Linked DNA regions of Rattus norvegicus. The protein of the gene in region 3 interacts with the protein of the main gene of each other region in a pairwise test. Links are inferred from orthologs where the notes say so. Each region holds a gene or a part of one and is shown on either strand. Other genes may lie near its edges. The genes, in order: Eif4e2, Pin4 and Zbtb9.

Evidence for each region.
Region 1: the proteins of Zbtb9 (region 3) and Eif4e2 interact in binary tests that used the Homo sapiens proteins (3 or more experiments, as listed by UniProt). The two-hybrid records come from large-scale screens. The link is inferred for Rattus norvegicus from reciprocal best matches to the Homo sapiens genes ZBTB9 and EIF4E2.
Region 2: the proteins of Zbtb9 (region 3) and Pin4 interact in binary tests that used the Homo sapiens proteins (3 or more experiments, as listed by UniProt). The two-hybrid records come from large-scale screens. The link is inferred for Rattus norvegicus from reciprocal best matches to the Homo sapiens genes ZBTB9 and PIN4.

What each region holds. Positions count from the first base shown.
Region 1 is NC_086027.1:95,344,345-95,347,751, reverse strand, and holds part of Eif4e2 (eukaryotic translation initiation factor 4E type 2), read right to left. Parts: intron 1,194-3,407; coding exon 1,089-1,193; intron 1-1,088. UniProt on the Homo sapiens protein: Recognizes and binds the 7-methylguanosine-containing mRNA cap during an early step in the initiation. Acts as a repressor of translation initiation.
Region 2 is NC_086039.1:71,270,855-71,274,605, reverse strand, and holds the start of Pin4 (peptidyl-prolyl cis-trans isomerase NIMA-interacting 4), read right to left. Parts: upstream 2,573-3,751; 5' UTR 2,520-2,572; coding exon 2,477-2,519; coding exon of another isoform or gene 2,444-2,476; intron 522-2,443; coding exon 448-521; intron 1-447.
Region 3 is NC_086038.1:5,058,356-5,062,106, reverse strand, and holds the start of Zbtb9 (zinc finger and BTB domain-containing protein 9), read right to left. Parts: upstream 2,792-3,751; 5' UTR 2,656-2,791; exon of another isoform or gene 2,555-2,655; intron 2,412-2,554; 5' UTR 2,373-2,411; coding exon 975-2,372; 3' UTR 1-974. UniProt on the Homo sapiens protein: May be involved in transcriptional regulation.

The DNA.
Region 1 (3,407 bases), on a different chromosome or scaffold from region 3:
CGCAGAGGAAACACTCAGGCTGGTCTTGAGGGACAAGTTTAATATGTAAAGCAGGAAGAAGATGCCAAGGCACTGGAGGAACATGTCTCACTGAGCCAGAAGGAAGAGAGGACTTTCCACATTTTCTCAACATTTATTTTTTTTCCTTAGAAAAATGCTCTGGCCGTGGAGTAGAAGCCAAGTGACAGTTCTTCAAAGAGATCACAGAGCTCTCTTCCAGTTTCCCGTTCTAAAGTTTTTTTTTTTTTTTTTAAAGATTTATTTATTTTTATGTATATGAGTACACTTCAGACACACCAGAAGAGGGCATCACATCTCATTACAGATGGCTGTGAGCCACCATGTGGTTGCTGGGATTTGAACTCAGGACCTCTGGAAGAGCAGTCAGTGCTCTTAACCGCTGAGCCACCTCTCCAGCCCCCCCCCCTTCTAAAGTTTTTTTCCAGCCACTTTAATCCTCTGTATACTTAGCAAATGCATTGCACATACATATGCACATAGATGTGTTCTGAGGGAACAATGACATTTTATAAAAGTTTTTACTACTTTAACAGCACCATTTGAATGACAGTACCTATGATGGCTTGAATAAGAATGGTCCCTATAGGCTCATATATTTGAATTCATAGTCAATGAAGTAGCACTATTTGAAAGAATTAGAGGGATTAAGAGGTAAGGTCTTATTAGGGCAAGAGCTGACTGGGGTGTATTCTGAGGTTTAAAAGCCCAGAGTCTCATCTGCTGCCTATGAATCGGGACACTCAACAAATTCCCACCTCCCCGAACGCCACCATGCTTCCTGCCATGATGATAATGAACTAAACCTCTGAAACTGTTAAGCCAGCCCCAATTAAACCTTCTCTTATACTAGTTGCCTTAAGAGAGGACCATCTTCAAAGCCATAAGCCAAGAACATGTACGACTGCATCAATGACTGTTCCTAGAGGTGCAGGCTCCCAAGACTTAGCAAATCGTGTTACAGCTTTGAGAGAAAATTTCAAAACTCTTCTAACCTTGGCAGAACTTAAAATTAAAATAAGTAAAGAAAAAGTCTGCTCCTGAAAGCAGCTAGAGATGCCAGTCCTTACCTCCCACATAGGTTTGATTCCTTCTTTAAAGAGATGAAAGTCACTGTGGCCTGTCAGGTCCCCGGGACGGACCATGTGGCTGTAAAACTTCCAGAACTGTTCCACCTGTAGAAAGAAGAGCCAAGAGTACAAGGACTTTATCTCTTCTTTGAACGCACACACAGTTGTATTACTGAGAACAGAAACATGGGAGACATCCTGCCTTGGGTACCCTCTTTGGGGACACATTTTCATTTGGAGCAGGGTAGAAAGAAGACCATCATATAGGTTTTTTATTTGGTTTGAGACAAGGTCTCTTGTAGCTCAGGCTGGTCTTCAACTGACCTACCTCCTGCCTCCACCTCCCAAGTGCTAGGATTGTAAGCATGTACTACCATGCCTGGCTTGTACAGTTTAATCAAAGAAAAACAAGACAAAATAAGAACAAAAACACCTAATACTTTCAATCCAAGGATAAACCCAGCTGGAGAGCTGGCTCAGGATCAAGTGCTCTGGCTTACCTTCCAGAGGACCCAGGTTCATTTCTTAGCACTGGCATGGCAGCTCATAACCATGTGTGGTTAGCAAACAGTTCTAGGGAATCCAATACCCTCTTCAGATTTGCACACTGTACACACGTGGTGCAGATATACACTAATACAGATAGAATATTTACAATCTAAAAAAAAAGTTGGTGAAAACTGCTGGGGTCCGTCAGCAGCTTTGAGGTGGAAAAGGAGGCCACACTGACAAGCCTGGCCTCTCACGGAATAGTAACAGCACCAGCTCTCTGCACAACTGAAAACCTTTCTTTCATACTGAGGTATGTCAGGAGACAAGGCCTCACCTGCATATACTCACAGAGTCAAATCTAATTTTTTTCTTTTGTTTAGACAGTGTATGAGCTAGGGTTATGGTTTCTTTCCTCCTCTCAGCTGGAAAGATTATGTCTCTTCTGTATATACCTTAAACAGGAAAACTAGGTTTATAGTTTTCTTTCAAGTATGTTTATACACTTATATTCCAGTATTCAGGATCTAGGGAACATGGATCACCCAGATGGGGTTACATAGTGATACCCTACCTACATCGAAAACAAAAACAAAAACAACAACAACAACAACAACAACAACAAAAAACCAACCAACTGAACAACCCACCCAGAGGCTGGAAATCCAGACCGTTCAGTGGTTGAAAGGGCTTGCTGCTCTTTCAGTTCCCAGCACGCACAATAGGTGGCTCACAACTGCCTGCAACTACAACATCAGGGCATCTAATATCCTCTTCTGGCCTCTGCAGACATTCAGCAGGTATGCACACACTACATATACCACATGTGCACACACAAATTAAAAACATTAATAACAGCAACAACAACACCAACAACCCCAAACTCACTCACACTCATCCTGGTCTCTGTGATCTACAGAAGATACCTGTAGGCCCTGGCAGGAAGGAGGCACTTTAGGAAAAGAAGACATGAGGCAGGAATAACTACCAGTAACTGTCAATACCGTGTCAATACTCAGCAGGACTGTGCAGTAGGAAACAGGTGTTGTCAAATATTGAGGCCTATTAAATCTAGATAGCAAGAGAAACTGACTCCTATCAGGTAAAAAAAAGTTGTTCTCTCCAGCTGCCTTACAGAACACAACATGTTCTTATATAGTTCAAAACCAGAAACTAATGCTATCTATGGGATTTTAATTCAACACCTCATCTCTGAAACTGCTGGGCCTACCTGTACATGTAGTAATTTGGAATATTAAGTGGCTGTAACATATACAGTGAGCAGTAATCTAAACTTTTGCCTATATTTTAGGCAAAATATACAAATCTGTACTCAAGCCAAAATAGAGATAAAAGAAACAGCTCAGTGGCTAAAAGCACATACTTTTCAATTTTCAGCACCCACATCAAGCAACTTACAACTACCTGCAACCCCAGCTCCAGGGGGATATGACACCTCTGAACTCTGGGCATTTATACTTGTGTGTGTGCGTGTGTGCATGGGACACACACACAGAGACAGAGACAGAGACAGAGACAGAGAGAGAGAGAGAGAGAGAGAGAGAGAGAAAAACAACCATTAAACTTTGAAAGATGTCTTATTATTTTAATGTTCGGTCCCCAGCTCCGAAAAAAAAGAACCAAAAAAAAAAAAAAAAAAAAAAAAGGATTTATTTTATTTTTATTTATGTGTGTGTATCCTTGTCCATGCACATGCCCACAAGGCCAGAAGATATCAGATTCCTGGGAGCTTCCATTATAGGGAGTGGTGAGCTACCTGACATGGTGCTGGGAACTGAACTCAACTGGTCCTCTGCAAGAGCAGTATCC
Region 2 (3,751 bases), on a different chromosome or scaffold from region 3:
ATTATTTGGGGACTATCTCCCACCCATGGTCAAAGTAACAAATTTGTGAACATGTGCATCTGGAGGGCAGGAGATAATTCCCTTCTAACGTGCCATCCCCCTTTTTTTATTTTGAGATAAGGTCTTTCACTGGATTAAAACTCACCAATTAGACTTAGGTCCTTTCTCAAGCACTTTACTGACTGAGCTAAAACCCTAGTCCACAAGTTAACACATTTAAAAGAACAGTGCTAGAAGTTTGAAAATTCTACCCTTTGAAAGCTAAGACTGGATTTTGGTTTCTAGTTTTATATCCTTCCTTTTTCTGTGCACGCGCATCCACTCGCACGCACACACATGCACACAGACACACATACACACATACATGCACACACACACATGCACACACACACATACACACACCTCAATTCTTTACATAGAAAAAAGTTAACACATGAGATAACTCACCTTTACTGCATTGCCACCACCTTTAGGACCCTGAGACTTCTTGTCAGCACTATCGCTCCCAGAGGCTGCACCTCCTTTAGAAAAGAGAGGATACAAACTCATTTCAACTGTACTTTGACATTTATAGATAGGTCTAACTCATAACACAAGGTAATCCATCCATTACAGTCCCAAGTTCCAAAAGGCTACATGGTGAGTCATGCAATCAAGTTAACTTACTCTATGACTCATCTCTAATAACAGGAAATGTACCCTACAAAATACTTTGCAGAAAATAAAGAAATGAGTGTGGGCATGGATGAAGGAGCTCCAGAAGCCTGGTCCAGATTCTTCAGACCCCATTCCAAATCTACCATTATATAAAATCACATAATTTTTATTATGTTCTGTGACTGTGTGTGACACTTGAAACTCTAACATTCAAAATCTCCAAGAATTTTAAGGGGTTTGGTTGTATCTCAGGGGTAGAGTGCTTGCTAATGAATATATATATACATATATATCATATTAAAATATTTATCATTATATTAAAATTGTATATATGTATATATGTATATATATAAATGTGTGTATATGTCTATGTGTGTATATATGTATATATGTGTGTATACACACACACACACACATATATGTGTATATATATATATATATATAATTTCCCCCTGCAGTCTACCACAATGGCTACCGATATCCTCCTAGAGTTTGTGACATTCAGGTTATCAAGCATTGGTAGCACATCTTACTACTCTTAAGTTTTGTGTCAAAGGCAGTATATTAAATGCTAGAAGCCAAGGTGTCTAAGACTAAGTATTTAGCTTAACAATTGTTTCCTCAATAATTCCCAAGTTCCAGTTCTTCAGGTATAAGGTGAATAGGATTCATAGCTACAGCCAAGAGCTCACATCCCAGTGAGGAAGACAGATCACTTTCTGAGAATCCAACAAGTGAAAAGTTGTGGAAGGGACACGTATTTTAGCTAAACAGGCAATATTTGATTGATGAACAGGAGCTGACCAGCTAAAGGACAATGTACTCCTGGTGACCTCAAACTCACATCCTCCTCAGTCTACCATTGCTGAGGCATGGCTTTGTGGTGTCTCACCCATTCTTATACTTTAAAACATCTTGGTTCCTTGGGCCTCTGGGGCATCATTCTACTACACTCCCTTTATTTGTCTCTTCTCTGGGTTCCTACAACCACGACCTTTCTTCAGGCTATTTTTTACCAGAACTACTGAAATGCTCTCTAAAGTACCTCCTGGCCTGTGACCGACCTTAACATCATGTACAGCACACCCTATGATTTAGTCTTCTTCTGCTTTAATACCTTCCTCTTGCTGGCTTATTTGTCTTGAACTTTTACTTCAGTAATGCTAGATTATACAAACTGCTTCTGGGGCTGGACACTCCGGGTCAAGTATGTTTTATCCTATTGCTGCTGCTTATTTCAGCAGTATCTCCAGTTTGATTCTTTACCCTCTTTCCACCTTCTATAATATACCTCCTAGAACTACATTCAGCACAGTACTATCTTCCCCACTTCGTCCAGGAACGACTAAGAGTTGTCTTACTTTTCTAGCCTGAAAACACAGCCATGTGCCCTACACCTGTCTTCAAAAAGTGACTCCCTCCTAAGGGAAAGGGGTATGTCATAATACTAGTTGTTAATAATGCTGGCGTTTCATCAGATTCAATTTTAGTGGTAATAAACCCTTAAAAGAGCAGTTCCAGGTCGCGAGGAACCATCCCTAGTAGCTTCTATCCCGCCACGATGGTCCCTGCACTGAAACCTCATGGGTACCCTGAATCACAGCACTTTTCTGACTTACTAAAAGAACCCCGAACATAAATCGTAGCGGCTCACGGTGCTCTTGGTTACCTTGTTGGCCAACTTATAACACCACCCCCCCCGCGGCCCCCCCCCCCCACAGCTGCCGGCCTACCCCTGCCCTTTTCCTCACCCTGCCGGCCTACCCCTGCCCTTCTCCTCATTCACCCCTAAGCTCTCTGACTGTCTCGGCCGGTCTACCTTTCCCTCCTTTTCCAGAACCACTTTTCCCCTTCGGCGGCATCTCTTAAGCTTGCCGTTGAACTCTCCGGCAGTTGTTCCGGTGCTAGAAAAAGGCCCCTTCAGGCCCCATAGATATGTCCAAAGCAATGCCTGAAAGCAGCTTCACAATCAACTATTTCTGCTGCGGTTCCGGAATCAGGCATAACTTGGGACAGACCCAGTTCATTGGTTCTTTGACCTATAGGAACTAAAGATGTTTGACCAATAAGAAGCCGAAGCCCTAAGGAGAGGCGGGAACAAAGGTTGCCCAGAGACAAAAAAGCCCCGCCTCTGTTCTGTTCCTCAAGGCTTTCACTTGCCCTCATATGCACCCGTTCTATGCTCTCTTTCACCCCCGCCCACTTTTTGTGCATGCGCAGTGCTAGCCTCAGGCCACTGCAGTTCCTTGGCGTGGGTTTTTGCTAATACCTTGGGGATGCTAGACAAAGGGATAGCAGAAGGACCTTAGATAATGGCCTTCTTCTCCTGTCCTTTCACGGACTGACACAGAACTGCACTCCCTAGTGGCTTTTCTTATTTATTTATTTAGCCATTTATTTATATTTTCACAGCAGTAGTTGATGGGGTATAAAAGATGGAATTTTTTTAAGCCTATCATCCCATTGCCTGTGGCAGAAGTCTGTCATGGAGAAACATTGGAAGCAGCCTAAATTAATTTTAAAATAATGATTATAAACTGTGTATACAGAAATAGCCTTAGGGAAGATTATAGACCAAGGTGTAGAATGTGATTTTTAAAGTTATATATCCTGTAGTACATAGTATATACACTTAAAAGATAAGCCATTAATAATGTTCAGCAGCATAGCATGTGACCACTGGTGTCCATCTATATAGTCATTCATGTCTCTTTATTTTCCAAAATTCTTTTCTTTTTTTCTTCCCTTCCTCCCTCCTTACCTCTCTCTTTTCCTTCCTTTTTTCTTTCAATACAGGGTTTCTCTGTGTGTATCCCTGACTGTCCTTGAACTCGCAGAGATTTGCCTACCTCTGTCTCCCAGCTGCTGGGGCTAAAGACATGTGCTACCACCTCCAGCCTCAAACTTTGTATGACAGCACATATCATGCAATTTAAAGGTTGGATTCTGGAAGCACATGGCCTGCTTTAAAACCCGTTCTATTAGTCCTGTGACCTTGAAGAAGCTCTTGGGCTCAGTTTCCATCTTCTGGGAAATGGAGTTGGTAAAGTATCTGCTTATAGAGTATCAGACAATCAATTTCAGAGTCGACAGC
Region 3 (3,751 bases):
CGCTGTAGGCCAGCTGCCACCTCTTGAGTTCCTGGGTCACATCTGTCATTGTGATTAGTGGTAGTGAAAGACAAGGTGAAGGCCTCTGAGGGAGGACCCTCTGCGATGGGCTTTCAGAGTAACCTGTGAAATGCTCAGTTTGCTAAAGTGCTCGAGTACTATTTATCCCCCTCAAGATAGGGTCTCGCCGAGCGCAGCCCTGGCTGGCCTTGAACTTGAAGAGATCCACCTGCCTCTGCCTCCCATGTGCTGTGATTAAATGTGTGCAGGACACTTGCTTCATGTTCAAGTACTTTTTTTTTTTAATGTATGAATGCTCTGTCTGCATGTACGCCTGCAGGCCAGAAGAGGGCGTCAGATCCCATTACAGATGGTTGTGAGCCACCATGCGGCTACTGGGATTTGAACTCAGGACCTCTGGAAGAGCAGTCAGTGCCCGAGCCACCTCTCCAGTCATTTTTAAAAGGATATTTGGGAAAGGTGTCTCCTGGTGAGAAAAGAAAAGTACAACTTTAAAAAGCTTCTGGAAAGAAATGACAGAAAGTACAGAGTCGGGATACCGTTGACAGTGAGGCAGAGGCCGCTCAGAGCTGAGTCTGACAATTACTTGAGCTCTGAATCAAATGTTTTCCTAGTTGGAGACCAGCTCCCTCACCTCCTCATGAAGATGAGGATAGAGTTACTGGGTCATTTTGCTCCATCTCTTCTCTTGCTAATATAACCTGAGGTCAGCAGTTCCTTCACTGGCTATCAATACAAAAAGGGCCATTCCGGTTGAGTGATCAGAAGCATGACCTTCCTACAGGACTTCCAAATATACCAGGGTGAGGCCCATCCCCAAGAGTAAGGGGTTCACAACATGACATATATAATCTCTTGGAAGGACCACACGATCCAGGACTGAGGTGGTGGAAGGTAAGTCCGTCAGCAGCAGTGGCTATCTTGTCCTAGAAATCACTACAGAGCATCGGTAGTCATTTGTAAGTCCAGTGGTAAGTGGGCCAGCCCTGGCCCTTGCATAAGTCCCGGTGTCGAAGGAAGAAAGCCTGGACCCGGAACCGGCGGCCACAATGGGGACACGCGTGCAGAGCTCTGGCGTGGGTCTTCATGTGCTCTGTCAGATGATGCTTCAGCTTGAAGCGTTTATTACAGATGCCGCAGCCGAAGGGACGAAGGCTGAAGGTCAACATGATGTGTCGGTCTCGTTTCGGCTTGACTGCAAACCGTTTTCCACACAAGCAAGCAAAGCACTTTCCATCTGCAGGGGGTGTCCCTCCTAGCTTCACAGGCCCGTGCATAGCCTGCCCTGTTCCTCCGGGTCCTCCGCCCCCTGACAAGATTTCATTCCCATGGAGATCCACTGGTTTCCAGGATGGGTCTCCTGCCCCAGACGTCTCCCCTCCTCCTGAGGACAGCAAGTATCTTAGCTCCCCATTTTCCTCAGAGTTCTCTCCAGGCAGTACTTTGGTCTTTTCCTTTGCTCCTCCAGACAGAGTCCTGCCTCCTGATGTCTCCTCCTTACACTCGACGTTTTCCTGGTTAACGTATAAGATTTGGGAAGTTTGTACGGGAGGGGCAGGAGGATCAAGTGTTGAGTTCTCATCCTCTGAAGGTTTGCTGGGAAGAGTCGATGTAGGCAACGGGTGGGATCCGCAAGCCTGGGAAACCGCTCCTGACACTCTCTCAGGCTGAGGGGTCTGAAAGGGTGGGGCTGCTGACCTCTGCTCCTCTTCCTCCTCTACTTTGACCTGAATCTGTAACATTCCTTCTAGTTCACCCCCCTCCCCTCCACTGGGGCTCTCAGGGGCAGCAGAATTCTCTGTGGAAGCGGAGGACCGCCCTGGGTTCTGGAAAGGGGAAGAGCGAATGCACCAGCCTCCTGCAGATGTTGTGGAAAGAAGTGTGAGGCTGGAGGCTCCTCCACCAGATGAAATTCCACTGGACGTTTCTAGCTCTCGAAGAATCTCTGAGCACCGATCTACTACCTGCCACATCTGAAGGCCACTGGCCACGAGGAGATGGGCAGGAAGAGCATCCAATGGCAGGTGGAGGCTTCCTGAATAGATGAGCTGAAGCAGTCCCTCGAACGCATCTGCCTCGATGACATTCGGTAAAGTGAGTCGGGGCGCATCCCCCAATAGCAGCTTGTCATGGAAGTAAGGAGAGGCAGCAGCCAACACTGCTTTGTGAGCCCTCAGTTCCCTGCCCTGAACCAGGAGGGATACATCACAGAACTTTCCCTCCAGCCTATGGCGGTTCAGGGATTCCAGCAGCGAAGAGCTATGATGAGGGAAATCAATGTGGATTGTCTGTGGGGCTGGGTTACACCTCGGAGAAGAGGGTGCGGGAGGCAAAGGAGTCGAAGCATCCATGGCTACCTCGGAGGGAGAAATAAAACCCGTGGATGAAGACTGCAGAGGAAAGAGACTAGGGTCACACAAGTTCGGGGTATGAGACCTGCCTCAAGCCGCTCCCCACCGACACTTGAAAACTCTTCAGTGACAAGTTTCTGTGTATTAGTTCCGCCCACCAAGAAACCCAGCAAAACACTAACCAGGGTTTTCACTTCCAGGCCCAGCGGAAGCCAAGTAGGGAAGGGATGGCGCCCCGCCTCGCTGGCTCAGTCGCCCTCCGCCGCCGCTCGCCCCTCCTCACCTTGCTCGGACAGGCCGGCTCCGCGAGCTCCGGCCCCACGACTTCCCACCGACACGCCCCCACCGCACGCACGACCGCGTCGGAGCTCCTCGCATCCACTGCGCCTGGCCGGCCGGAAGCTGCCGCAGTTCCGCCGGACGCCACTGCAGCCAGGCGCGGAGGGCCGGACCTGGTTTGCAGCCAATGGGAGAGCGGCGGCCTACAAGACCTCTCCTCATTGGCTGGTCAGTCGGAGGGGCGGGGCTTTGGGCGGGCGGGCTGCTGGAGCGGCGGCGAATGTTTTCCGGGATGAGCGGCCGATGAGGAGGGTGGTTCTGCGGGTTCTGGGGTGAGGGGAGTGACTGGCTCCGCAGCGCGGTGTGTGTATCCCCCCGACTCTTGCCGCGCGAGGTAGGAGATGCGGCTGTCCTCCGCGTGCACGTGGGGCAGCCAGGTCAGAAGTCTGGAGCGCACACATGCTGAGCACCCCGGGTTCTTTCCTCCATTTCGCAGACAAGCGTCCTCACAATTAAACCCTATGTCGAGAGGGTTTTGCACTTGGAGTCTTTCGGGCGTTAAAAGCCGGTTCCCAGCCTCAGCGCCTTTGGGTCGAGTGTCCGGCGGGTAGAGAACGGGGGTAGGAGTTTCACCAGAAAGGCCCTGCCGTATATAGTTTTCCTGACTCGAGCAGTGTGTAGTGGAAGAAGACATGATTTTGTTTTACTTTTTCTCCCCCAAAGTAGTCCCTGTCAGCCTTCAGGTGGTTCTGGAGACCCCAGGCTAAAAAATCAGCCCCCCCCCCCGCGACAGACGCTTTTTTAGTCCCAGGAGGCAGAGGCAGGCGGATCTTGCTAGTTCAAGGCCACCCTGGTCTACAGAGTGAGTTCCAAGACAGCCCAGAACCACACAGAGACCCTGTCTTGAAAAACCAAAAATAAAAGTCAGCCCAGCGATAAAAGAACAATCTCCGTTTATTAAACATGATTTTTCTGTTTCACCACACACTCCAGAAAAAAAAAGGGAAATGGACCCGGGAGTGGGAGAAAAGAGGGGGTGTGGGGGGATGGGGGTGGGGACCAAGAGTCTGGGAGCAGGAGCAGAAAGGAGAACGAGTAAA